Linked DNA regions of Ovis aries. The protein of the gene in region 2 purifies or fractionates together with the protein of the main gene of each other region. This does not show direct contact. Links are inferred from orthologs where the notes say so. Each region holds a gene or a part of one and is shown on either strand. Other genes may lie near its edges. The genes, in order: COPG2, COPE, COPG1, COPZ1, COPB1, ARCN1 and SACM1L.

Evidence for each region.
Region 1: the proteins of COPE (region 2) and COPG2 purify together in Homo sapiens (affinity purification with mass spectrometry; 5 studies listed by BioGRID and IntAct, with this or other methods). This does not show direct contact. The link is inferred for Ovis aries from reciprocal best matches to the Homo sapiens genes COPE and COPG2.
Region 3: the proteins of COPE (region 2) and COPG1 fractionate together in Homo sapiens (co-fractionation; 6 studies listed by BioGRID and IntAct, counting the BioPlex papers as one, with this or other methods). This does not show direct contact. The link is inferred for Ovis aries from reciprocal best matches to the Homo sapiens genes COPE and COPG1.
Region 4: the proteins of COPE (region 2) and COPZ1 purify together in Homo sapiens (affinity purification with mass spectrometry; 3 studies listed by BioGRID and IntAct, with this or other methods). This does not show direct contact. The link is inferred for Ovis aries from reciprocal best matches to the Homo sapiens genes COPE and COPZ1.
Region 5: the proteins of COPE (region 2) and COPB1 purify together in Homo sapiens (affinity purification with mass spectrometry; 6 studies listed by BioGRID and IntAct, with this or other methods). This does not show direct contact. The link is inferred for Ovis aries from reciprocal best matches to the Homo sapiens genes COPE and COPB1.
Region 6: the proteins of COPE (region 2) and ARCN1 purify together in Homo sapiens (affinity purification with mass spectrometry; 4 studies listed by BioGRID and IntAct, with this or other methods). This does not show direct contact. The link is inferred for Ovis aries from reciprocal best matches to the Homo sapiens genes COPE and ARCN1.
Region 7: the proteins of COPE (region 2) and SACM1L purify together in Homo sapiens (affinity purification with mass spectrometry; 4 studies listed by BioGRID and IntAct, with this or other methods). This does not show direct contact. The link is inferred for Ovis aries from reciprocal best matches to the Homo sapiens genes COPE and SACM1L.

What each region holds. Positions count from the first base shown.
Region 1 is NC_056057.1:96,089,689-96,093,847, reverse strand, and holds the start of COPG2 (coatomer subunit gamma-2), read left to right. Parts: upstream 1-1,359; 5' UTR 1,360-1,428; coding exon 1,429-1,465; intron 1,466-1,980; exon of another isoform or gene 1,981-2,068; intron 2,069-2,664; coding exon 2,665-2,717; intron 2,718-3,278; coding exon 3,279-3,359; intron 3,360-4,159. Other genes in the region: TSGA13 (testis-specific gene 13 protein), read left to right, coding at 826-995. UniProt on the Homo sapiens protein: The coatomer is a cytosolic protein complex that binds to dilysine motifs and reversibly associates with Golgi non-clathrin-coated vesicles, which further mediate biosynthetic protein transport from the ER, via the Golgi up to the trans Golgi network.
Region 2 is NC_056058.1:4,117,289-4,120,788, reverse strand, and holds part of COPE (coatomer subunit epsilon), read right to left. Parts: intron 2,982-3,500; coding exon 2,919-2,981; intron 1,312-2,918; coding exon 1,211-1,311; intron 1-1,210. UniProt on the Homo sapiens protein: The coatomer is a cytosolic protein complex that binds to dilysine motifs and reversibly associates with Golgi non-clathrin-coated vesicles, which further mediate biosynthetic protein transport from the ER, via the Golgi up to the trans Golgi network.
Region 3 is NC_056072.1:59,032,435-59,035,934, forward strand, and holds part of COPG1 (coatomer subunit gamma-1), read left to right. Parts: intron 1-87; coding exon 88-185; intron 186-1,811; coding exon 1,812-1,950; intron 1,951-2,402; coding exon 2,403-2,501; intron 2,502-3,500. UniProt on the Homo sapiens protein: The coatomer is a cytosolic protein complex that binds to dilysine motifs and reversibly associates with Golgi non-clathrin-coated vesicles, which further mediate biosynthetic protein transport from the ER, via the Golgi up to the trans Golgi network.
Region 4 is NC_056056.1:132,224,513-132,228,508, reverse strand, and holds the start of COPZ1 (coatomer subunit zeta-1), read left to right. Parts: upstream 1-1,196; 5' UTR 1,197-1,221; coding exon 1,222-1,239; intron 1,240-3,862; exon of another isoform or gene 3,863-3,919; intron 3,920-3,996. UniProt on the Homo sapiens protein: The coatomer is a cytosolic protein complex that binds to dilysine motifs and reversibly associates with Golgi non-clathrin-coated vesicles, which further mediate biosynthetic protein transport from the ER, via the Golgi up to the trans Golgi network.
Region 5 is NC_056068.1:37,993,661-37,997,160, forward strand, and holds part of COPB1 (coatomer subunit beta), read left to right. Parts: coding exon 1-19; intron 20-1,861; coding exon 1,862-1,981; intron 1,982-3,343; coding exon 3,344-3,451; intron 3,452-3,500. UniProt on the Homo sapiens protein: The coatomer is a cytosolic protein complex that binds to dilysine motifs and reversibly associates with Golgi non-clathrin-coated vesicles, which further mediate biosynthetic protein transport from the ER, via the Golgi up to the trans Golgi network.
Region 6 is NC_056068.1:28,962,178-28,966,388, reverse strand, and holds the start of ARCN1 (coatomer subunit delta), read right to left. Parts: upstream 2,801-4,211; 5' UTR 2,676-2,800; coding exon 2,673-2,675; intron 1-2,672. UniProt on the Homo sapiens protein: Component of the coatomer, a cytosolic protein complex that binds to dilysine motifs and reversibly associates with Golgi non-clathrin-coated vesicles, which further mediate biosynthetic protein transport from the ER, via the Golgi up to the trans Golgi network.
Region 7 is NC_056072.1:53,562,617-53,566,116, reverse strand, and holds part of SACM1L (phosphatidylinositol-3-phosphatase SAC1), read left to right. Parts: intron 1-864; coding exon 865-934; intron 935-1,052; coding exon 1,053-1,125; intron 1,126-1,839; coding exon 1,840-1,933; intron 1,934-2,040; coding exon 2,041-2,133; intron 2,134-3,500.

The DNA.
Region 1 (4,159 bases), on a different chromosome or scaffold from region 2:
GGCATCCAAATAAAAGGTTACATAGAAAACTGCTTTGATGGGGGCCACGAAGGCTGGTTAGGAGACTGTCCAAAAAACAGATAGGACCTGAATTAAGGCAATAGCAGTAGGAATAAGAAAAGAGATTTAAGAGATATTTACATGGCATAATGCTTCAGAATAGAGGGGAGGGATGGGAACAGGCCAAGCCCAAACAGAGGCGTCCAAGAAGGGCTGAAATTGAAAGACAATCTGGAAAAAGTGATACTGAAGCCAAAGGTAGCAACAGCTTCTTAGTCACACTCTCAGACAGGAGAACTGAAAATCAACATACATTTTAGGAAAGGGCTAAGAGGAATCTGAACGCACAAGTGAAAGTACCTTAACTTAGTAAGAGTTATGTGTCAATCCCCTGGAGAAGGGAATGGCACCCCACTCCAGTACTCTTGCCTGGAGAATTCTGTGGACAGAGGAGCCTGGTGGGCTATTGTTCATGGGGCCGCAGAGCTGGACACGACTGAGCAACTAACACACACACACACACACACACACACACACACACACACATAAACACACAAGTGTCAAAATGGTCACAGATGGAATCATTTGAAAGGGTGGGGTTAGTTAGGGAAGATCCTAAACTGGTAGTGTTTTAAAGTGTGTCTTGATGAAGGGAAGAATTATAAACAAAGTTGGGAATGGTGGTCAGTGGTCCAAAACCTACCCTTCTTGCTCTGAGTAAAGACCAGCTTTCTCACCCCTCCAAATGGGTCTCTTCATTTTTCACATTATGTGTCCTCCCTTGGGAAGTCCATTTTCACGAAGGTGCCCTGTGCTTTGTTGCAGTCTCCAAGAAGTCAGGGAGCGACTCGCCAACTTCCCAGATGATTTGGGAACCATTAACCCTTTCATCACTCCTGGAGAAGAAGCCCACCAGAACCGCACCAGGAGAGAGCGAGTTCCGCAATGGAAGGGCCCAGCAGTGGTTTATAAAAAGCGCCACTGTCATTAAGTGAAAACAAACCCTGCAGGACCCCCGCTTCTCCAAAGACTGAGGGACCTGCAGAAGTCGCCATCTAGGGCGTGCCAACCAATAAAATTTCATTCTGCCCGCTCCGGGTGTGGGCTGCCGGGTGGCTTGTAGGGCGGGCAGGGGCTAGCCCCCAGCTGCTACCGGTCGCTGTAGGGGCGGAGGTGCGACTCCGGTGGGAACCACCGCTGGCCCCGCCTCCTCCCGGTTTGGGAAGGAGGAGAGGGGGTGGCCACGCCCCCGGGGGCGGTGAGAGCGGCCGGCGCCGGGTAGGGAGGGCGGGCCTTCTTTCCGAGTGACGGGACCGCGGCCCAACCGGCGCCAGAACACCGGACCGGCCTTCCTGCAGCCTCTTCCGCTTGCCGGCTGCGGCGCCTGGGACGGTTGCCGTGGGTCTGGGCGCTGGGAAGTCGTCCAAGATGATTAAAAAATTCGACAAGAAGGACGAGGAGTCTGGTACGCCCGGGGCTCAGCCGCGAGGGCCCCTTCCCCTTCCCCCGCCCCGCCGCCACCTGCTCTCGGGGACTGCGAACCTGGGGGCGTGGGCGCCGGTGTGCCAGGGGGCTGGAGTTGGAGCCCGGCCCCTCCTCCGACCCCGCTCCGCTTCAGCCGGGGGCCTGCCCCTAGCCCCTCCCCCAGGGCTCCGGAGCCTCCCTTCAGGTCGGCGCGCTCGCGCGCGGCCGCCCGCGCGCCGCCTCGGGCTGCTCGGCGGCCCCGCCCCCAGTCCCCCTCCTCTGGCGCCGCCGCTCCTCGGAGCCGCCTTCTCCTCCGCCGGTTCGCCTGGGGTGGGCTTGCCCACCAAAGAGGCGGGCCCACGGCAGGTGGCGGAGGGAGTGAGTGTGCGCTTGCGAGAGGCGGCGGTTGGATGGGGTGGGGTGGGGGCGGGGTACTGATAGTGTACGGCCCTGAGTGGGTCTGGGGTCGACTGGACTGTGTGTGTGTATGAACTTTGTGGTGCTTGTACCTTACAGTCTCCCTGGGGACCTCTGCGCTGTCCGCTTCCCTGGGGGCAAGGCTGTTCCGTGGTACCTAGCTCATTTAATACTCAAGCATCCAAAAGTGAGTTGCATCCTGATACCCATCTTTGGTCCAGAGTAAATGAGGCAGATAGCCAAGTCCCCTCAAAAAAAAAAAAAAAGAAAAAAGAAAAAGTCTCAGTGATTGATAGCTGCTCTCACAAAGCGTGGTCGAGGGTTGGGTTAGTAAACCTCTATGGCCCCTTCAAAGCTTGACGCGTATCTAATTCTCTGATAAACTCTTCTGCCTCCAGCAAAATGTTAGAAATACACAAAGTAGTGCTTTCCTATAGGGAAATCCGAAGAGCCTTACCACAATCTAAATCTCAGTTGTGTGGACATGGCAGATATTTGTAACATTCATATAAAAATAAGGCAGGCCAAGAAGACAAGGTACTCATTTTAGGTAGAGTTTCTGTAAAAGAGAAGTACAGGATCTTACAGGATAGCAGATAGAGCTAATGTCAGAGTCAAAAAGATTTTAATTAATTTGTATGCATATTAGTAATGATTATCACTGTAATATCCAAGTGGACACCTCGCATAGGTGAGATTTCTCAAGCATTTAAAACCCTTCTTAGAAAGTAAATACATCTGTGTATGCCAGCTATTAAAGACATTTTTTCCCCCATAATATAGGTAGTGGCTCCAATCCTTTTCGGCATCTGGAGAAGAGTGCTGTCTTACAAGAGGTATGGCTTGGAAGTATAGTGTGTTTTTTCTTTTCTGTTCCATTTTAGAATGGGGACAGAGCACCTGGAATTCTATGATCCAAAATAAGAATTAAGGAATGTAACTGAGTTCAGAGAATATATACTGGAGGGAAAAAAAAAAAGAGGGGTTACTTGTCATAGGAAAGTCTGGCGTTTATAGAAATGCAAACATTTGTAGACTCTGTCACATGTTGAGAATTTTAAGTAACATAAGGTAGGAGGTGTTTAGTGCAAGGTTTTTGAAGGAAGTTATAGATACTAAGCTCATTGTATTCAAATGATGTAGGTAAATATTGAAATTCTTAGATAAAGTCCACAAGTTGAAGTGGGAGACTTAAGGGAGTGAGTATAGAATGGAAAATCACATCTGATAATTTATTATATACCATAATAAATGGAAAACTATAAGCTAAATTATTTGGATACTATGATTAAAATATATAATAGTCCTAAAAACATATATATAATTGTTTTCATTTTATTTGATTGTCTATAATCTGTGATAGAAAATATACATAGCAGTGTTTTTTGTTTCCACAGGCTCGTATATTCAATGAAACGCCCATCAATCCAAGAAGATGTTTGCATATTCTTACAAAGATTCTTTACTTACTGAACCAGGTAAATTACTGTGATTTTCCTCAGATTTGTGTCTTAGAATAGAAATACATAATGTGCAGTGAAGTTTTTTCTAGGAAGTGTAATTATTAATTTTTTAATAATTCACTTAATTTTAGAATTTGCAGTGTTTGATTAATGTAGTAATATGTAAAATTTGTGGACAAGGAGTATGACATATACTTCTTTCTTATTCATGAGGTACCAAATCAGCTAAGCACACAGTACAATCTCAACATTGATTTGAATTTAACAAGTATTAGTTAATATTCAAACATGTTGTTTAGGTATGTTCAAAGGTCTTTATGTCCCTCCAAAAATATTTTTAAAAAGCTTAGACAAATTCTAGATAGACATTTTATCCTTTTGTGAGGGTATATTAATGCTTTAAAGCTTTCATTTTAATATTCAAATTAAGGAATATAAGCAGGAATATTGTTTTATTGTGCTTCACTTTATTGAATTTTTTTTTTTTTTTTACAAATTGAATGTTTGTGGCAACCCTGTATTGTTAGATGATGGTTAGCATTTTTTAGCAATAAAGTATTTTTAAGTTAAGGCTTGTACATTGTCTTTATTTAGACATAATGCTATTGTACAAAATAGACTACAGTGTAGTATAAACATTTATATGCAACATTTATATGTATAAATGTATAAATTTATATGTATAGATAATATAACATTATATGCACTGGGAAACCAAAAAATTCCTGTGATGTGCTTTATTATAATATTTATTTTATTGCCATGGTCTGGAACTGAACCTACAGTATCTGCAAGGTATGCCTTTGTTTGTTTAT
Region 2 (3,500 bases):
CAAGGTCTTTAACCACTTACATCTGCAGACAGCCCGTTTCCAACGAGGTCAGGTTCACAGCTTTTGGGGGTCCCCATTCAGCTGCCATTGCTTAAGTCTCTTTGAAGAAACCCCTCAGGTCTCTTTATGGACCAAGGAGCCAGATCAAAGGAGGTTGCGCACGGGGCGCTGCCCTCCATGAGGAGCAGAAGTGGGGGTCACAGGAGATATCCACACTTGGGACCCACAGAGGGCTGCAGCAGCCCGCGAGGGAGGCGTAGTATCGATGAGGTCAGGCCCACATCCTGGTCTAACAAGCTCCACGGGGCAGCGTTCAGGAGAGGAGCCCGAGACCCCCCGAGGCATCACAGTGCTGTGAGCGAGGCCCCGGAGCTCGGACAGGCAGCTGGGGTCGGCTCCCAGAGCAGAGCATCTCCCTGTCATGCGCTGTGCTGCCCCGCCTTCTAGCCCAGCCACCCTCTGGGGGGTGTTTCACCTCTGAAATCCCAGGGGGCTTTGTGAGCAGTCCATTTCCAGGGGTGGGGGGAACCGAGGTGCAGGGGGACCACAAAGCCTGCTGCATCAGGCTGGTGCTCCACGCACAGGTGAGGCAGGGCCACACAGCTCCCAGCCAGAGGCTGAGCTCACAGGCACCTGGGTGAGCAGCCCAGCCCAAGACCTGCCTGCGCAGGAGCCACCTGAAGCCAGAAAGGCCAGACCGTGAGCGGTCTCAGACCCCACGCCGGGCAGCAGAGAACAGGCAGGCCTGGTCCTGGAAGACCCAGCGCTTCCGGGTCCCTACAGCCCTGACCCTCGCCTCTCCCGGCCACCACCTGACGGAGTCTGATGACAGCTGATCAGCGGCACGAGGCGGACATGCAGCTCAGAGTGAGGCTGCGGTGTCCGCCCTCCCACCCGTCCGCAGAGATGGATGACAGGCAGCGCAGCCACCAGCACCTCCCCGCAACTCAGGTGAGCAGCAGCGGAAGGTGGGGAGGGTCCCCGCCGCGCGTCCCGGGGGGGCTCTCTGGGCAACCAGGCTTCCGCAGCCCCTAGGCAGCTGTGCAGTCCCCACCTCTGGCCCCCCGCCCCCGCAGAGACCTCCTGGAAGCAGGGCCCCTCACTGCCCCCGCTGTGCGGCTGAGGGGAACCAAGGCTCAGAGGGCACAGCAGGGATGCCCACCAGACACCCCCTGCCCGCCCAGGCCCGCCCACAGCGCCCCAGCCTCACCGCCGGCTGTCGCTGGCCAGGTACTCCGCAAACATGCGCACAGCCTGCAGCTCGGGGGCAGAGGAGGGCTTGATCTCATCCAGCACCACGCCGTACTTCCTCTGTGGGCAGGACACGGACGCCGTCAGCCCTGCCCGACCTCCCGGTGCAGTTTCTGTGTCCCAGACCCCAGGGAATATACAAGGGCTGCTTGGTGCCAGCATCGCCCTGGTGAAGCCCCAGTACCTACCGCTCCCAGGGACGCCCCTTGGCCCTCGGGAGCCACCACAGCATCCCCCGTTAGCCACACTGCCCACTGCTCCAGCTGCAGACCCTGGCCGGTCACTGTACAGCCCCAGGTGGTGAAGGGGAGGGGGTCACAGGGTCAGGGAATCTGGGCATGTGCTTCGGCCTGCCCACAGACACCCAGCAGGGAGGTCACTGCGAAGGGAAACTGGCATCAGGGACCCATTTCCCTGTTCCTTTCCAGGCAGTTTCAGTGTGTTCATTGCCTTCTACGTGTCTTCACGTTTCATTTTTTTTAATTTATTAAAAAAGAATTTTTTGGCCTTGCCATACGGTATGTGGGGCCTTAGTTCTCCGACCAGGGGTCAAACCCGTGACCCCTGCATGGAAGCCACAGAGCCTTAACCACTGGGCCACCGGGGGAGTCCCTACCTGTGTTTATCTTTAAAGACACATGCAGACATGAACACATCCGAGCAGACTCTGCAGTGCACTGGGGCACCCTACTCTGACGGGGGGCACACACACCCTGGAGGTGGGAGGTGGCGGGGAGGAGCACCTGGGCCACAGGGGGAGGTCCCCTCAGGTTCTAGAATGCTCCACAGAGGAAAAGATGCAAAGAGACCTGGGAAGCCACCTGAGGCCTGACGCGAGGTGGGGGCACCTGTGAGCCATGTGCCCCCCACACAGCAGCCCAGGCCTGCCCTCTCCCCGCTGCTCTAAGGGGATGAGGCTGGCGGCCACACCCGTGCTGTGGGCCTGGGGTGGGAACACGGTGGGCACAGTTCAATCCTCTCTGCAGAGTCTGGGTTGTCTATACAACAGGGGGATGAACTCTCACTGCATTACGTCCCAGGGGAATGCTGCTTTTTAAGACCCAGGTAAAGAACCCGCCTGCCAATGCAGGAGACACCAAGAGACGTGGGTTCCGTCCCCGGGTGGGAAGGCCTTGGAGCAGGAAATGGCTCCCCCTCCAGTACTCTCGCCTGGAAAATCCCATGGACAGACGAGCCTGGCGGACTACAGCCCATAGGGTCACAAGGAGTTGGACAGGACTGAGCACAGCATGCAACGATGCTTTTAAAACTTTAACTGCAGCATCTAAACTGCCAGCTCTAGTTAATAACGGCATCAATACCAGTGCATCAGTTCTAACAAAAGCACCCCACAAACCCAAACTGTTAATGAGAGAAAATGCCTGTGGGGTGGGGCTGGGATTTGGAATTCTTTTTATCATCTGCTTGGTTATCTGTAAACCCAGAACCATACCGAACGAGTAAAATCTACTAATTAAGTGGAAAAAACAAAACAAAACAAGAAATCCCAACACCGGTCTCCTGAGCTGGTGCTGCAGGGCCTCAGTGACGCGGTCACCGACTTCCAGTGGCCACACCAGCTGCGTGGCTCCTGCCCCCGCCGACACTCTGCTCCTGACTCTCCTGTCCCAGGGCACCGGCAGTCACAGTCAAGGGCCCACGCTCACCTGGGCCAGGTACGCTCTGTACAGGAAGACATCCCGCTCCACGTCTCTCTCCGGGCTGGATGGCTGCGGAGGCAAAGGTAGGTCAGGACTCGCGGGGGCCGTGCGGCCAGCAGCCCCACAGAGGCCAGCCACAGGCAGCCTTCCCAGGAGACTGGGCCCTAGTCCCCGCCCTGGCTCTCTGCCCCCTTAGGACCTTCGGCCACAGGCGAGCAGCCGCCACGGACGGCATGCAGCATGCTGGGCACCCCATTCTGTGCCCCCAGGACATCCCCCTGGGAAAGGCGGCTCAACTGTCACTCCCATCCGGCTGGGTGAGGGACGGGGACACTAACAGTGCTGAAACAGCCCGAGCCATACAGAAGGGGCCGGGGCAGAAGCCACGCTTCCGACCACGGGACACTGGGCTGCTCATGCCGATGGGGAAGGACCCGAGCCTCAGCAGACCAAAATGGAAGCAGCTCAACAGTCCAGGTGGTCCGAGGACGCCTGCAGTGGGGTCGGGGTTGGGCGTGCACTGATGCCTAAGTCTGTACAAGCCTAGAAAGCAGGCCTGGGAAGACTCCCATCTGAAGATGGATGGCT
Region 3 (3,500 bases), on a different chromosome or scaffold from region 2:
TGGGCCGCTGGCGCGGTCGAGGCCTGGAGGACAGGCTGTGGCCGCCTGCCCGCAGAGGCCCCCAACGGCGTGCCTTCCCTCCTGCAGTGGCCTGCACGTTCAGCTGCATGATGAAGTTCACTGTCAAGGACTGCGACCCCACCACCGGGGAGGCGGACGATGAGGGCTACGAGGATGAGTATGTGGTAAGCGCCGGCGGGGCCCGCAGGGCTCACGCCAGCCTGCACGCGTGTGCGCTGGTTTCGGTTTAGACGTCGCAAAAGAGTTCTTGTTTTTAACTTAAAAAATACATGTTCAAGTGTCACAAGAAAACCTGGGAAATAGAAAAACAAGTACACTCAGGCAGGGAAACGTTCACTGTAGCCCTTGGGAATGGCTGCGGGGAGAGAAGCTGTGTCTGATGTCATTACATACATTACAGATCTTGTTGGTTTCCCTTAGAACCAGGGTGTAATTTCCCGTCAGTACAAATACTTCATAAACACAAGTCTTAGTGACTTTAAAATACTCCCTTCTATTGACATATCCTAATTCACCTCACTTTGTATTCCAATAACATTGGGCATTTGTGATTCCAAATTCTCACTGTTTTTGAGTGCTACAGTAAACACCCCTTTCAGTAAAAATTTGTGCCTGTGTTTCAGACCTGTCTTGTGACTGGAAGTAGAATAATTAAAAAAACATTTAAAATAATTAAAAAAACAAGTAGGATAATCGGGTCAAAGACGCAGGACGGTTTCAGGGCTTTTTGGTTCCTGCCATCAGTCGCTTTCTAGAGAGACGGGGTCAGTTTGTGTCTGTCAGCGACCTTCTGACGCAGTGAGGTGCCCCTTCCGGCTCCAGCTCGCGGGGCTAGCACAGAGCCGAGGGCAGGGTCATTCTCGATTTGCCCGGCGTGCGGCGGCTCCCTGCCATCTGAGTGCAGACCCTGACAGGCAGCCTGGGATGGAGACGGCCAGGGCCCTCGTAGCCAGAGGGGCAGTCGCTGGGGCACACCCGATGGGCACTTGTGTCCTCCCGGGTCCAGGCCTGAGCCAGCAGTGCGCGCAGCCAAGGCCAGGAGGGCTGGGTATGAAGCCCGGCTTCTGCCACAGGGGCTGTGTCCTACCTGTGAACGCCCTCCCCGCGCACGGGAGCAGGGGCTCAGCAGAGAGCTGCTGGTGAATGAGCGGGAGCCTTTCCACACAGTCGGTCCAGGGTGCGCGTCCAGAGCGGGCCCGGCTGACTCGGGGCGGCCTCTGAGCACTCCTCCCCACCCCGCCCCATCAAGTCAGGCACTGGCGGCTTCGGAGGGCGCGCTCTCACAGCCAACACCCCGAGAGGAGGACAGGGGCCCCTCCATATCTGTGGGTTCTGCCTCCATGGATCCAACCAACAGACGGAAAATGGAGTGGGTTCCAGAAAATTCGCAAGAGCAAAACGTGAGCTTGTCACACAAGGCAGCTATGTACTTAGCGTTTGCACTGTGTTTACGTCTGTTTCCATGACACTTACATCATATCGGGTATTATAAACGCTTGAGAGGTGGCGCAGAGCATAAGGAAAACGTGCGCAGCTTAAACGCAAACACGGCGCTGCTCCACGTAGAGGACTGGAGCCCCCAGGAGCTCGCTGTCTGAGGGCGCGTCCCGCCGAGGGGCCACCACCCGGCCGTGAGCTGCTGAGGACAGGCCGCTGGTCCGCTGGGGCCCGCCCCGGAGCCCAGCGCTCGGAGCCTGCGCGGTGGGAGGGGCGGGTGGGCAGAGCGGAGCGGAGGCTCTCGCCGTCTCTCCTGGAGCTGTGTGCCTCAGGACCCTCCTATCGCCCCCCAGCTGGAGGACCTGGAAGTCACGATAGCGGATCACATCCAGAAGGTCATGAAGCTGAACTTCGAGGCAGCCTGGGACGAGGTCGGGGATGAGTTCCAGAAGGAGGAGACGTTCACCTTGTCCACCATCAAGACACTCGAGGGTAAATGCTGGGGGTGCCGGCTCTGGTTTGCCTGCCTTTCAAGACCCTTGGCCACTGTTAAAGTGCTCCTCCTCCCCCCGTCCCCGCCCCCGTCCCCCAAAGATCCAGGGCCAAGTCTAGAGCATACAGTTCAGATACACAGAATAATAAAAAAGTCGCTCAGTCATGTCCGACGCTTTGCGACCCCGTGAACAGTGCAGGCCATGGAATTCTCCAGGCCAGGACACTGGAGAGGGTAGCCTTTCCCTTCTCCAGGGGATCTTCCCAACCCAGGGATCGAACCCAGGTCTCCCACACTGCAGGCGGATTCTTCACCAGCTGAGCCACAAGGGACAGTTCAGATGCTGCTCATTAAAAGCTGCATACAGTGGGATTTGGGGCTGGGGGAGTGGTGATAGCGCCAAGTGGAGATGAGCTACGTGGGTTAATAACTCTGGGACTCCTCCCTGCAGAGGCTGTGGGCAATATCGTCAAGTTCTTAGGAATGCACCCTTGTGAGCGGTCTGACAAAGTGCCGGACAACAAGAACACGCACACGCTGCTCCTGGCCGGTGAGTGGCGTTTCTCGTGGGAAGGGCCTGGGTGCCCCTGGGTAACCCGGGGATTTAGGGCTCGCAGCGCGGAACATCACAAGGTATGAGAAGGCCAGCTAGCGCCGTTTTCCCCCGGCGCTTGCTGCCAGTCAGTGTCCCTGCCCACGGGCAGCCAGTGAGCTCCTACACAGGCCTCCAGGCGCCTCCCTGTGATCCTAAGGGTGTGAGAGCAAGTGTGCATGCTGCCCTGTGCAGAGTCAGACAGCCGTATGCAGACGGCGGGCACGCTGCTTTGCACTTGGCTGTTCACTTCACCGTGCATCTTGGAGAGCCTCCTGGTTTTTTTCCTTTTTTTAATAACATGAAATTTACCAATGTAGTGATTTTCACATCAGCTCAGCAGCGTTAAGTACATTCCCGCTGTTTTGCAACTATCGCCATCACCCACCTCCAGAACTTTCCCGTCTTCCCAGACGTCTTCCCAGACTGAGCTCTGGTTGTTTCTCATGGCTGAGTACTGTCTCTCAGAACCAGCACGTGGACTGAGGGACACCTAGGTGGTTCTCGTGTTCTGCCATTACAGACTGCGCTGCAGGGAACAACCCCACACACACGTGTCTGCTTAGGCACTTTATTTTGGATGTGTGCACTCTGGGTATTTGTAGGGTGAGTTTCTCAAGGCTTTACCAGGTCAAAGTGCATCTTTCATCTCGGTAAATATCTCCAGCTGCCTTCCATAGGAATCGTGTGCCTTCTCTCCCACACTTCCAACCGGGCAGCGTGTTCGCAACCTGCGCGGCCTGTGCTGGGCGTGTCCGTGTGTCTCGAGTGGCTTCACTCTGAGTGTCCTGTGTACTGACGGGCGCTCAGCATCTCAAGTGCGATCTGCCATGATTGCTCTCACCCCCTCTGACGTGAAACAGCGCGTGCATTCTATTTATTTCTATAGTTTCCACTGAGTTGGTTATTCCTTTCTGATAGGAATGGGGTTTTTAAGCAGTTCTGGGAATTTTCAAA
Region 4 (3,996 bases), on a different chromosome or scaffold from region 2:
AAACCCACAAAAACCTCTGAGGGACAATATAAGGCAATAAGGGCTTCCCTGATGGCTCAGATGGTAAACAATTCAAGTGCGATGCAGGAAACCCAGGTTCCATCCCTGGGCCAGGAAGATTCCTCAGAGAAGGGAATGGCTACTCACTCCAGTATTGTTGCCTGGAGAATTCCATGGACAAGGGAGCTGGTGGGCTACAGCCCATGGGGTTGCAAAGAGTTGGACTCAACCAGCGACTAACACACATATAAGGCAAATAAAGGTGTCCCTGACCTACGAAACGTCAGGGACCAAGAAACTGAAGGGTGAGGAAAGCTAAACTTCATCAAAATCCCTCCCTATTGTGAAATCTCTGCATTCAGTAAACTTCTCTTTTCTCATTGTGCAATGGCTTGTCCCTACTGGAAAACAGCATACCCTGCTCCCTACATCGTTCCTTATCCTGGACCCTTTATTCCTGTGTCCCTCAGCATCCAAAGATCTCAAATCCCGTTTCACGGCTGGCCAAACAAAATCTGCTTTTAGAAAACTCACTAGCTTCTTGTCCTTCCCTGGATCAAGCAAAGTCTGGGACTCCACCTAGGGTAGATTGTTATTTTTAGCAATCAACCTCTAGCGGCCTTCTTTTTATCAAAGTAACACGCTGGTCATCTTGTGGCTTTACTTTATGACTGTGCAGACTTTGAGTATGCTGAAGTGATCTGAGCGAATCTGAAGGAAGAGCTAGTAGTGTTTGCCAAAGCTACCGTGAACATCGGGGACCCAATGGAGGCTCCGGAATGAAGATTCCGGTGGGATTACATCAAGACCTGCCAGTGTGAAGGGCCAAAGAGACACAGCGCCCCCTAAAGGGAGTGCGAATCAAAGTTACTAAATCCGACCGATGATATCACGTGCCCTCCGCCAGGCCAATTGAAAATTAACAATCGCTTCCTCTGTTCCCCATGGAAACAACCCCGCCCCTCTGACCTTCCCTCTCCATTCAGCCTTGAGGTTTTGTCGTTTTATTGAATGTTTAAACTGACAATCAAATACCTGCGCCTTCTGGCTGGACACCTTGCTTCCGCTAAGCAAACTAGTACACTGATTGGTCAATAAAATAATAGATGACATTTGGGCGTCCAATAACCTTCATCCCAGGCGGGATCTAATGAGGACGTAGGGCCAATCAGAGGCGGCGTTGCCTCTGTGGTTCCACGTCGGCACCAGCTGCGGGGCAAGATGGAGGCGCTGATTTTGGTAGGAGCTGGAGGGGCACCCGAGATCCTGCACTGTCCAGGGGGGCCGGGAGTCGGAGTTCAGTCTGAGTGGGAGGGGGTAGAAAGGGGAGTTCCTGGTAATCCTCGGGGTCCGAACGTTTTGCAGGTCCCTGGAATAAGCCTGTGGCCTAGTGCCGGAGCTAAAGCCTCGGTTTAGAGTAGGAAGCTGTGCCGGGGTTAGGGCAGAGTTGGTGGAAAGTTGAAGGGAGCACATGGAGTCCTTAGGACACATAGGATCATAAGCGTACTGGATTGGGGTCCTTCAGATTCTCTCTGATTATGTGCATTGTGGATGATACTGTGATTTGAGTTCCCCCAAATCTCCAAACTCGCCTCGAATTGTAAGAATAGAGTGCAGGTGTTTGTCATCACAGAAAACTTGTCACAGTGCAACTCTCCGTTGATAATTCCCTGTCGTAGACCTTAAAAAAAAAACTATTTTCTTCTTCGATTTCCTACTATGTAGATTTTGTCATCATAAAGAATCAGTATTCCATTAGAGTTCTGGAATACCTGATAAGAGTTAGTGTTGGATTGTGGAATGTTTTTTCAGACTTCTTAATCTGTTCTCCTTTTCCCGGTTCATTTAAATTTTGGGAATTCTTACTATAGTAGGATCTGGGATGCCAACTTTTCTCTGGTTATGTAAGAATTTTGGTGACTGAAGAGGTGTGTTACCTCCCCTGTCCATATAATCCTTTTTGCTTGCTCAAAAAAAAAAAAAAAACAAAAAACTATTATCTCTTCTTTAGAACTGAGCATTTCTCTCAAAAGTGCCCCACCCCTTTCAAACGTGGGGTTGTTAACATATATATGTATGTGTAATGTGTAGGAATTTAACTCCCAGCTTCTTAATTGAATTGAACTCTAGGTTCCTTTTTTACCCCCCTTCAGCTCTTCATATGTACACCTCCAAATCCTCATCAGGTTAAAGAGAATAACAGGTTTCAATATCCCTCTTTCAAAATGGCAAATGCAGGGATTCAGTTCAGTTCAGTCGCTCAGTCGTGTCTGACTCTTTGCAACCCCATGAATCGCAGCATGCCAGGCCTCCCTGTCCATCACCAACTCCCAGAGTTTACCCAAACTCATGTCCATCGAGTCAGTGATGCCATCCAGCCATCTCATCCTCTGTCGTCCCCTTCTCCTCCTGCCCTCAATCCCTCCCAGCATCAGGATCTTTTCCAATGAGTGAATTCTTTGCATGAGGTGGCCAAAGGATTGGAGTTTAGCTTCAGCATCAGTCTTTCCAATCAACACCCAGGACTGATCTCCTTTAGGATGGACTGGTTGGATCTCCTTGCAGTCCAAGGGACTCTCAAGAGTCTTCTCCAACACCACAGTTCAAAAATATCAATTCTTCAGTGCTCAGCTTCTTCATAATCCAATTCTCACATCCATACATGACCACTGGAAAAACCATAGTCTTAACTAGATGGACCTTTGATGGCAAAGTAATGTCTGTGCTTTTGAATATGCTATCTAGGTTGGTCATAACTTTTCTTCCAAGGAGTAAGCGTCTTTTAATTTCATGGCTGCAGTCACCATCTGCGGTGATTTTGGACTCCAAAAAAATAAAGTCTGACACTATTTCCCCATCCATTTGCCATGAAGTGATAGGACCAGATGCCATGATCTTCGTTTTCTGAATGTTGAGCTTTAAGCCAACTTTTTCACTCTCCTGTTTCACCTTCATCAAGAGGCTTTTTAGTTCCTCTTCACTTTCTGCTAGTTTCTTCCAAAAATATGGTTTGTTTAAGTCTAGGTAGAAAGCTTTGAAATCTTACTAAAGATATTTTCTGTACCAACCAGTTAACCAGTGTTCTTAACTAGTTAACAGACTGAGATGAATTCTAGGGAATTGGTTTCTTTGGAAGTTTTAAGAAAATTTTAGACTGCCCCTTAGTTCTGTTTAGAAGGGAGCCTGCTTATAGGTAAAGGAGTGAGGAAGATGATACTCCAGGAGCCCTTTTAACAAGGGATCTGTGTGTAGAGTGACCTGAGTTATATGTGAAAGTCTCTCTCCCTCTCACATTTTCTCTTACTTCAGTTCTTATCTTTGCTTCCATAATGAAGTTTGTTTTGACCTGCTTCTTCCTTATATCCATTTTAATCTTTACCTAAGATGCTTCATTCACAGATCCTTGCTGACCTGATCAGGTATCCCTGAAGTTTGCTTTAGAAACCTTACTGATTCTTTGTCCTGAGGAACCTATGTGATGTGTAAGGGGAAACGAAGATTAAGGGAAAAGGGCTTCCTCGAGTAAGCACAGTCAAAACCAGGATTAGTTTTTGACTCCTAATCCTCCCAGACCTAGTATTTCTCTCATATTATCGTGTGCTTCCACCTCTTCAGTATGCCAAATTGCACATTCAACTATCAGTTATATAAAACGTTAGTTAGGTACAAAGTACCAACTTTCAAAGTACCAACAAAGTACCAATACAAGTTCTTGTCACCAGAGTTCTTAGAATATCATATTAGTAATTTCCTTCCTCTTTGTCTGTGCTTCCCAACATTTTTGTATGTGTGTGCTCATTACTACCTTCAATATATTTTGGGCCCCCAATTAAGAACTTACGTATCTTTCTCTCCATTCCAGCCCTTCTCAACTGGAGTTCCAGGGGAGAATTAAGCCCTAATGCCGTAAGACATCATTGTATGTAATGAATCAATTTCTCTGTATACGCAGTGTCACTAGTTTTATACTATCTTTGGGAAGAGTAAAAAAATAGT
Region 5 (3,500 bases), on a different chromosome or scaffold from region 2:
TGCACCCACTGCCATCAAGGTACTGTCCTTTTTTGTGTGTCTGTGTGTCAGTTAGATGATAGACATGCTGTCTTCTCACTTGATGTAGTAACCTTACAATCAACTACAAATTTTAGAAAATTCTTTGATTTCCAGTGTAGTCCAACCTTCTTTTCTTACTTTCTGCTTTCATATGTATATAAAGAGTAAAAGTGACAGAATAGCAGTATTTGTAGTTTCTGGAGCATGATACTGGTATTTTAAGATCTCCACCCCATACTTCAGTTACATTAAGAACTAGATCTGGGGAAATGGATGCTGAATCCTAAATAATGTACCCTAAAACAGTTCCAGTGAATGTTTTTGATAATGAAATATTTTAATATACTGTCAAGGCTATGTGAGGAACCCTACTCTATTCATAGAATGAATTATTGTAGAAAACCAGATTGTATAAATAGGGGAATTTAGTGCTTTTACCACCAATACTTAAAAAATTCTTTTTTAATGTGTTATTTTGAAATAATTTTAAACTTACAGAAAAGTTGCAAAAATAGGTCAAAGTTCCCATTACCCTTCACCCAGCTTCCCATGATGTTCATGTCTTGCATAACAATTGTGTAGCTGTCAAAGTTAAAATTGTCGTTGGAACAATATTGTTAACTAAACTATAGACTTTATTCAGATTTCATCAGTTATCCTACTAAAGTTCATTCTCTGTCCCAGAATTCAGTCTAGGATCCCATGTAACACTAAGTTATCATGTGTCCGTGTCCTTCTAGTCTGGGATAGTTCCTCAGCCTTTCCTTGTTTTTCATGATATTGATACTTGTGAAGAGTACTGGGTCAGTTTGTTTGTAAAATATCTCTTAATTGGTTTGTATGGCATTTTCTCCTCATTAGTTTAATGTGCAAATATTTTAGGGAAGTACCACAGAAGTGGTACACCATTCTCAGTGTATCCTATCCTACATGATGCTGATATACCTTATTACTGGTGATGTTAAACTTGATCATTCAGTTAAGGTGGTCTCTGTCAGATTTCTCTACTGTTGACTTATGATTTTTCCTTTTGTAATCAATAAATATTTTGAGAACATACCTAGAAACTCTGCAAATATCCTATTTCTCCTCAGACTTATACCCAGCTAATTTAGACACATATCAGTAGATCTTTTCTATAGCAGTTTCTATTATGATATTCTAATGGTGATTTTTTGTTACCCTCATTCTACACTTACTATTTGGAGTTCTGCAGGGAGGAGCTGTCCCTTCTCCTTCATTCTTTCTTCCCTTCCTCCCTCTCTCCTTTCCTTCTTTCCTTCCTTTTCTTCTTTATATCAGTATGGATGTTTTATGCTATGGATTATAGTCCAGTATTATTATTTTGTTGATCAAATTGTCCTAGCTTTAGTCATTAGGAGCTCTTTCAGATTTGCATCTTTGCCCTTTACTTTTAATGACTCAGAGCCATCTTTATATTCTTGATTTTTTCTGTTCTGTAATGCAAGTGGGTTAGGGTTTGTACCTAAACTTAAAAGTTGCTTAGTAGCCAAACTGTTTGGGATTCTCTATCTGCTTTTTTCTGCCTTGTTCCTTAGGTTCAGCCCTTAATTTTTGGCTGTTAATGAGGGTTTCTGGCTGTAACAACCTCTTCTCATCCTTTTAATTTGTGATGCTTCCAATTTTTTGTAATTAAAAAAAAAAAGAAATTTGTTAGAACTTGGGTAGTAGAGGGACACATTCCTCTGAGAAAAATGCATAAATTTTCAGTGTAGGATAGTGAATGTATTTTGGCTTCTTGGAGGCTTTACTTATTTTCAGATTCTATGTTTAAGATAGATGAATGTGTTCTTAAAATGTATTTCTTTTTTTTACATAGGCTGCTGCTCAGTGTTACATTGATTTAATTATTAAGGAGAGTGACAACAATGTAAAGCTTATAGTTCTAGATCGATTGATAGAATTAAAAGAACATCCTGCTCATGAACGAGTACTACAGGTAAATATTTCTGAAACAGAGAAATCCTAAATAGAATCTTCTTTCAAATTGAAATAATTCCCAATACTTTTCATCTTGGTTAGCTTAAATGCTTGGAGATTTGGTGGTTTAAATTTTGATCAACTAAAATATAACTCCTGAAGCACTGTAGCCTTTTGGGGTATTGTCTTTGTTATTAAAAATAATTTCTAACATGAATTAATGTGTTACATTTTATCTTTTCTGTTTGTACTGCACTTGGTGTTCTTACAAGTAGAGATATATTTGTTTTAGTTTTAATTTACATTTTTTGCAAAGTAATTAACACCAACGGAGAATGAAAGATTATTAGATTCTAGAAAATTATCAATATACCTGTTTAATCTGTGACAATGATTATTACAAAACTAAAGCCCCATGATAAAAATAAAGCTACGTTCAATGCTGATCCTGGATCAGTAACAACAAAAACATTTTCTATAAAGGACATTATTGGGAAAGTTGGGGAAATGTGAATGCAAACTCTGTATTAGTTAATAGTATCATTAATCAGTGTTAAGTTCTCTAAATTTGATAATTGTGTTATATAGGAAATTTTTCTTACTCTTGGGTATACAGTGAAACATTTCGGAGTATAGAGAATAAGACACAGCAAATGTGGTGAGATATTAACAACTGGTATATATAAGTAATGGTTGTAGAGGAGTTTATCCTTAAAAATTTTAGAACATTTTTATCAGAATTTTTTAAAAAAATAAAGTTTTAAAGAAGTGAAATATTTTGTTTTGCTATATTTGAAAACACTTGCTATAGAATTTTAAGTATGCCTCTTTAAAATATTAGTTTCCTGCAGAGCCAAAATAACATTATCGCACTTAACAAAATTGTTAATGAATCATCCAATTTTCCCAGATATTCCTAAAACACTCTTTTGGTTTGATTTTTCCTATTTATAGCCATACATCACACTTGGTTGTGATGTATGTAATTGTGATGTGTGGTTCCTTGAGTCTCTTAATTTGAACAGTATCATTTTTTCAGAACACTGACTTGTTTGAGAGACTCCTCCTGGATGTATCTGGTTACTTTTTTTGGTGTCATTTAGCTTGTTGCTCTGATTTCTGTATTTCCTATAAACTGCACGTTTGAGCTAAAGCTTGACAGAGTAAACATGTTCAGTTTGAATGCATCATATGTGATACTACATACTTCATGTTGCCTTACATCAGGCAACTCAAATTATCTGTTTTGTCCGACAGTAGTGATTTTATTATTGATCAGAGAATTAAGGTCATGATAGAACCCTCTATTCTGCAGTTAAGATTTTCTTCTTGTGACCAGAAATACTGATATTAATTCTAGATTATTTCTATTCTTTTTTAGGATCTGGTTATGGACATCCTAAGAGTATTGAGCACACCAGACTTAGAAGTACGCAAGAAGACTCTGCAGTTAGCACTGGATCTTGTCTCCTCTAGGAATGTTGAAGAGGTAAAACAAAATTCTGACAGCACTTTGTAAGCTGTCAAGTCAAACATGA
Region 6 (4,211 bases), on a different chromosome or scaffold from region 2:
AATAAGAAAAGAATAGCACTCTGTAGATAAGCAAAGACTTCACAGATTAGGGCTACAATGAGACTTAATATCAAGTTCATTCAAATATTAATTTATTAAGGAAAAAAACTGACTATAATGATACCTGACAAATGTTAAGAAAATAAGACATATTCTCATTAATTTGATGAAAACTAGAAAAAAGATTTTAAAAAAAGATTTTTTTGTACTTGATTTTATAACAAAGTCATCATAAATCATTATTTTTTTCCATTTGTTCATTTTATTTCTCTACTAAGACTTTGCAGTGTAGGACATTTTGCACCAAGTTCAGTCACTAAAGCTAAAGGAAATTTACTATTCAAAAACCAACATTTACATACTGATATCTACAATTTATTTTAAAGTGCATTTATATATATATATTTATTTATTTGGCTATATGAGCTCTTAATTACAGCATGTGGGATCTAGTTCCCTCACCAAGGATCAAACCCGGGCCCCCTGCATTGGGAGCATGGAATCTTAGCCACTGGACCACCAGTGAAGCCCCTAAAATGCATTAAAAAAAAGATGACCACAGGATGGGTGAATAATTAGATGTGTGATAAAGCAAAAATAGTGAAATGTTAATTACAGACTAGCTGGTGATTACATGGGTGTTCACTGTAAAGCTCTCAACTTTCTTACATGTTTGAAAATTTTATTATAGATCAACTTTTAGAACTCTGGATACAGCTTTTAGATTCAAGAAATCTTTGCAAAATGTTACCCTATTTGGACATTTCTTTGTCCAGGGATCTCTTTGTAAAGGAACGGAACCCATAAATATTACACAGAAAAATACTTAATAATGCCTTAAGACTCAACAGAGCAGAATGTACTGAGATAAGTTGTTCTCCAGAGTACACAAATCTGTAGGTATCTGGATCACGCCAAGTTCCAAATAATTCAGAACTATAGGCATATTTAAATGTGACACAACCGTATGTATATGTAGTGTCCAAATAACATGCAATTAATGTTTTTATGTTTACCATGTAACACCTAGGGTCCTATGGGCCCTCTGGTTATTGATGAATTAAAAATACTACTAGGGAAAAAAGCAGCAGGACATTCCCAAACTTTTCAACAAACAAGGTTTTTGTTAAGATTATCTACATTTGGTTTATATAATAAAGCCTTTAATTTTGCTTTTAATGTTATTGAAATGCACTACATGTACATCCAAGATGTAAAAAGAATCTAGTTTTAAAATCACTACCCGAATACTAAGCCTCCTAGTGGAAATGAAGAAAGGAGTTTTTGGAAATTTTATGTCCAACATAAAAGTTTTATGAGACAAACCTGCTTGATGCAATTTATATGCCTGAAGCTGAAAAAAACTGTTAAGTGATTTAAAGTCCAAGCCTGAATCTCCTCACCAAGTTTTCATCTAAAAAGGTTGTGAACAGAACTTGGTATAATTGGCACCAAATTATACTGTCATCTATGAAGTGCGTAGGAAGATGTTTTAAATCAAATTATTAATCTAGTGACAAAAAGAGAAATAAGAAAAGTACATCCTTCAAAGATTAAAAATTACTAGCTTGTTTGGAACCAAAAAACTTCTCCTACTTCATAAACATTCACAAATCGTAGTGATGAAGCCAGATGTAGTGGAGTGAGCACTGTGTTTTGTTTCATCTCTCACAAACATTAATTTTAACCGTCTCTACTACAGATGAGATGGGAGAAGAAAATGGCAACCCGTTCCAGCATTCTTCCTGGACAGAGGAACCTGGTAGTCCTTGTGATCCCCGAAGAGTCAACTTAGCCACTAACCACCACCACCACAGATGAGAACACGAAGATAATTCAACTGAAGGCAAGTAACAGGTCCCAAAGAATAAATCCCTCTCACTCCTGTGAGACATCTGATTACCGTATGCCACATCCACACTTCACCTGAACTATAAGCTCCTTGAAGACAGAAAACCTGTGTTCTCCATGACTGGCTCGCATCTTCCCAATGCTCTATACACAGAGTATACCCAATCACACCAACAAATGGACACACCTAAGATCTACAGAAGCGGGTAGCAGGTTTCTGGGTTAGCTGGGTCCTACAATTAGTGCCATATCACTGTCAGAAGTTACTCCTTCCCGTTCTGTGCCTCCCTATCCACTTGCTTCTATTTCTCCCTTTCGAACAAATTAAAGAAAAAGTCCTCAACACTAATGATTTAGATTTCAAACATCCACGGCCTACGGAACACCGGGGATGAGAGGTGAGTTGATTACAGAACGAAGTAAATCCCTGACAGAAGCCCAGCTTGGGGCGCCGAGGCACCCACTGAACCTGCTGGACACCAGAGGCCAGGTCCGCAGCGTGGGGTCCAAGACCCATCACTAAGAGGTAGGTTCTTGCAGAGCAAAAACCCCGAGCCCGCTTTAGGGCCCGGATCCCGGCAGAGGTGGGTGCCTAGCTGATGGCGGGGGAGGGGTGTGGGCGCGACCCTAGAGGGACTGCAGTCAGGTCCCTTGGATCTCCTGGGGAGTCGATCCCAGGGTGGAGAAGCCCCCAGAGCCCCGAGGAAGTGTTCGGCTCCCGGCCCTTGGGGCGGGGCTCCTCCAGCCCCAGCACAGGCCGGTAGCAGGAAGAACGGTCGAGCAAGGCCGGACGCGGGAGTTGAGCCCGGCTCGAGTCTTACCATGGTGACGGCGGTGGTGGGGCGCACCCGCGCGCTCCGGCTCCACTGCGGCTAGGGCTGGGGTCGGGGGAAGGGGAGGACCGGCCGCTCCGGACCTGCTGCCCCCCTGACAGGAGCGCCGCCGACTCGCCTCTTACCAAGATGGCGTCCTCGAGCCACGTCTCCAACCGGAAACGGCGCGGGTCAAAGGGCGGGGGGCGGGGCGCCGTGAGGTGGAGAGACTGTGGGCGACGGCTTGCAACGCAGATTGTGCTGGGGATGCCTGGGGGCTCGACCTCCAACGTGGAACCGTAGGCTTCTCTCCCTTCCGTGTTCGTCAGCGCTTTTGGTTAACTTGCGACATCTCCTGCAGTTCATAAAGCTCTCAAAGAGACCGTATCATTTGATATACACGATAACTGGTGTTCATAAGGGACTAGTAGCCAGAATATACAAAGAACTTTTAAAATTCAACAATTGAAAGACAACTAATCCGATTTTTAAATGGCTAAAATAGCCATTTCTCTAAAAAAGGTATATAAATGACCGGTAGGCACGTAAAAAGATGCTCAACATCTTTAATCTTTAGAGAACCCCACTTCACATCCGTTAGGATGGTTGTAATAATAAGTGTTGATGAGAATATGGGAAAATTAAACCCTTATACACTGCTGGTGGAAGCATGAACTAGTGCTGCTGCTTTGGGAAACAGTTTGGCAGTTCCTTAAAAAATTAAACATAGTGTTACTGTGGCAATACCACTCCTAGGTATATATCCAAGAGAATTAAAAGCACATATCCAAAGAATTCACCTGTCAATGCAGGGGACATGGGTTTGATCCCATAGGGCAACTACACCCTGTGCTCCGGAATAAGAGAAGCACTGCAATGAGAAGCCTGGGCACCTCAACAAAGAGTAGCCCCTCCTTTCCAAAACTAGAGAAAGCCCACTCACAGCAGCAATGAACACCCAGCACAACCCAAAAAGGTATATTCCACACACAAATTTGTATTCTAATGTTCATATAAGCATTATTCATAATAGTAAAAAATGGAGACAGTCCAACTGTCCCATCAATTGATGAGTGAATAACAAAATGTAGTATATCTACTCAATGGAATGTTAGTCACAAAAAGGAATAAAGTAATGACATATGGCACAACATGGATGAACCTAGAAAATATTATGTTAAGTGAAAAATGCCAGTTATAAAAAACCACATCTTACATGACCCAGTTTATATAAATTGTTCAGAACATACAAATACATAGAGACGGAAAGTAGGGCTGCAAGGGACTGGAGGAGGAGGGAAACAGAGAATGAGATTTGGTTTTTGTTCTTTTTTTTGGCTGCGCCTAGAGGCATTGGCAACCCACTCCAGTGTTCTTGCCTGGAGAATCCCAGGGACGGGGGAGCCTAGTAGGCTGCCATCCATGGGGTCGCACAGAGTCGGACATGACTGAAGTGACTTAGCAGCAGCAACAGCAGAGGCATGGGGGATCTTAGCTTCCACACCAGGGATAGAACCTGTGTCCCCTGCTTTGGAAGCATGGAGTCTT
Region 7 (3,500 bases), on a different chromosome or scaffold from region 2:
TCAGAGGATATTTTTCAACAGAAACCATATTGAGACTGGTTGCTTCCAAGGCTGGCTAACAGAAATCTATTGGACTGGGTTCTGTAATCTGTATTTAACTAATTTACATGCTAAAAACAGTCCTATGGAAGCTCAGCAGCCTGCAGAGAGCCTGGGGGCAGGAGCCTCTCCAGCCTCAGGGCCCGCTGACGTGGGGCCTCCAGCTGTGCCTCTCCCCTTCCAGAGAGGGCCGGTCACTGGGGTGGGCAGGCCCTGTGCTGGGGGAGTGAGGGAGAGGCCATCGGAGGCGAGCAGTGAGGATAGTGGCTCTAAGAGGGTTGCGGGTCCGAAACAAAGGCCAAGGTAGGAGTCCAGTCCGTGGTCAGTGAACTCCACAGGGGAGTCCGCAGAGAGACTCGGGCTGCCCGGGGTCCTGTGAGATGATATGCAGAGGGCTGTGCTTCTGTGCAATTTGTGGCGAGGGAGGGGGTAGCATTCCTCTAGTTCTCAAAGGGCCCCTGGCTAGGGGTAAGTGCGGAGGTCAGCAGTCTGGGTGGTGAATTGAGGCGGGCACAGGGTCCAGGTGATGGGAGGTTGGGGGCGGGGGCAGGGAAGGAGGGAGCACTGACTGCATACTCCCCGCCTTTACCTCTGCCCCTGTCTCTGGGTTTACCCAGTCCTGCTGCGGGTGCTGTGGTCTGGGGCTCAGCGGGGAGAGGGGCTGTGGGCGGATGGGAGCCCAGAGAGAGGCTTTGCAGCCGGGCTAAGCAGCGGAGGGCTGTGTTACAGGGAAAACATCTGGCTGAAGCCAGCAAGCACGTGAGACTCTGTGGAGACTATGCTGAAATCTGTAACGTGTAAACATGGGTATGATTCTTATTCCAGAGACTAGGAGTTTTGCATGTGGGACAAAAGCTTGAAGAACAAGATGAATTTGAGAAGATTTACAAAAATGGTAGGTCATTTCTTGAACAGAGGCAAGGTCATTCAAATGTTGAAATAAACATTTTGGATTTAGAGCATTGGTTGTCAGTGGTTATTAACTGATTTTTCCTCTTTTTGCCCCTCCACAGCCTGGGCTGACAATGCAAATGCTTGTGCCAAACAGTACGCGGGAACCGGTGCCTTGAAGACTGACTTTACCAGGTGAGCCGCGCGCTGGGCCGCACACTCCGGTGCATGGCAGATCGCTCGCGCAGCTTTCACCCAAGAGCGCCCGCCGGTGCCCGGGCCTCGCTCCAGGCCGTCAAGCTGGGACTCGGGGGAGATGAGGCCCAGGCAGCGGTGGCTTGTTAGCGTCCCTGGGTGATTCTGGCGCACAGTGGGGTTGAGCACCAGGGCACCTCAGCTCCTCTCAGCCACCTACTGTGGCTGACTCACCCCACGCCCATTCAGCAGGTCTGGGAGGGGCCTGAGACTATGTGCTTGCGTGATGCTAGAGCTGGTTTCAAGGACCGCACTGGGTAGTGAGAGGTTGGAATGTTTTGAATTTGTTACAGATGTGGTTGGGTCTTTTTCTGCTGTATGGATTCCCTGGGAGCAAGATAAGATTTCTAGTCTGTTCGCTTTATACCACTTAGCCTGGGCTGTGTGTTTCTCTTCTTGTTTCTTATCTTTGCAAGGGGAACTGAGCATGTTTCCTCTTTGTGTCTACTGTGATAATGCTTTAGAAAGAGGATGCAGATTTCTTGGAGTCAGTACAGTTTCTTTTGTGAGATGTCTCCTTTATATATTCAAGGATTTTAAAAAAGAAATCTTTATAATTTACTTATCTCCTTACCATGTAGTTATTGGCTATAAACAGTGTGAGAATTTAATATGCAAATCTGTAACTCAAAACTTAACCTCTTATTTAACTAGAACTGGGAAGAGAACTCAGTTGGGACTTATAATGGATGGCTGGAACTCATTAATACGGTATTACAAGAACAACTTTTCTGATGGATTTAGACAAGTAAGTTAGTTTTCTCATGCTAATTTGTGGTTATTTGGTGGCTGTGTTTTTGTACTGTTCCCCATACCTAATTTGGGAGTTATTATTTTCCTTTTTTTCTCTTCTAGGATTCCATAGACTTATTTCTTGGGAACTATTCAGTGGATGAATTAGAATCTCATAGTCCTTTAAGTGTTCCAAGAGATCTGAAGTTCCTGGCTGTAAGAAACCTTTATGTTTTTTAAGTTGTTAATAGAGTTGTGACTGAAGGTACAGATGGTCCAACACCCCTTGACATAAAACATTATGTGTTGTTCTAAATGGAATATAAATACTTATGTTGCCCCAAGGAGCAGGTCAGGGAGAAGAGTGAGGTAACTTTGGAATGTTGTCCTCTCTCAAACTTGACTGTCTTTTGCAGCTCCTTTATTGTGTTGTTTTGTTCATTTTTACAGTGTTGTCTTGGTTTCTGCTGTGCAGCAGTGTGCAGCAGCCATAATTATACACACAGCCCGTCTCTGCTGCGCCTCCCTCCCCTCCCGGCATCCGGCCGCCTGCAGCTCAGCGCAGACGGCCGTGGGCTCCCTGTGGCTCCCCGCGGCTCACCACCAGCTCCCATTTTGCACACGATCATGTGTGCACGTCGGTGCTACTTCTCCACTCGTCACAGCCTCTCCCTCCCTGACGGCACCCACATGCCTCTCCTCTCCACCTGTATTTCCTGCCCTGCAGATAGGTTCATCAGTACCATTTTCTAGATTCCACATATATGGGTTGATACGTAGTATCTGTTTTTCTCTTTCTGGCTTCACTCTGTAGAACAGCCTCTGGGCTCATCCACCTCACTAGAGCTGACTCAGGTTTGATCTTCTTTTATGGCCGAGTGATACTCTGTTGTATATATGCACCACATTTTGAAAAATCTATAAACAGTAAATGCTGCAGAGGATGTGGAGGAAAGGGAGCCCTCCTTCACTGTTGGCAGGAATGTTAGCTGCAGCGATTATGGAGAAAAGCATGCCGTCCTTAAAAGCTAGGAATGCATCCACTGTGTGACCCAGCAGCCCCGCTGTTGGGCATGTGCCCTGAGAAACCACAGCTGTGAAAGACACGCACGCCGGCGTCCACTGCAGCGCCGTTTACCGTAGCCTAGACGCAGAAGCGCCTAGACGTCCAGCTGCAGATGCTGTTTAAGTGAGAACACAGATGCGGAACAGGTGTGGGGCTCTCTTGTTTCAAGGAGACTCTGCTCCCCCCGAGGTTCAGCGGTTGCTGGAGGCAAACTTGCGATGTAGAAGTCAATGTATGTGTTTGACACGTCTCTCGTATTTGACTCATTCACCAGACTTTGCAAGAGCCTCTCTGGGGTTTGACGCCAGCGGGCAGGGTGTCCTGGAGTCGGGGGCCTAGAGTCTGAGTACACATCTGGGTGACCTCCTTCCACTTTCTTTTAATCTGTTTGAAGATTTGGACAGTTACGGTCAAAACTCTAATGATGTTGTGCTGAAAGGTATTTTGTATTTAGATGCAGACGGGTTCTGTTGTCTCTCAGGGAAGCTGATTTTGCAACCATCGATTAGCATCTTAC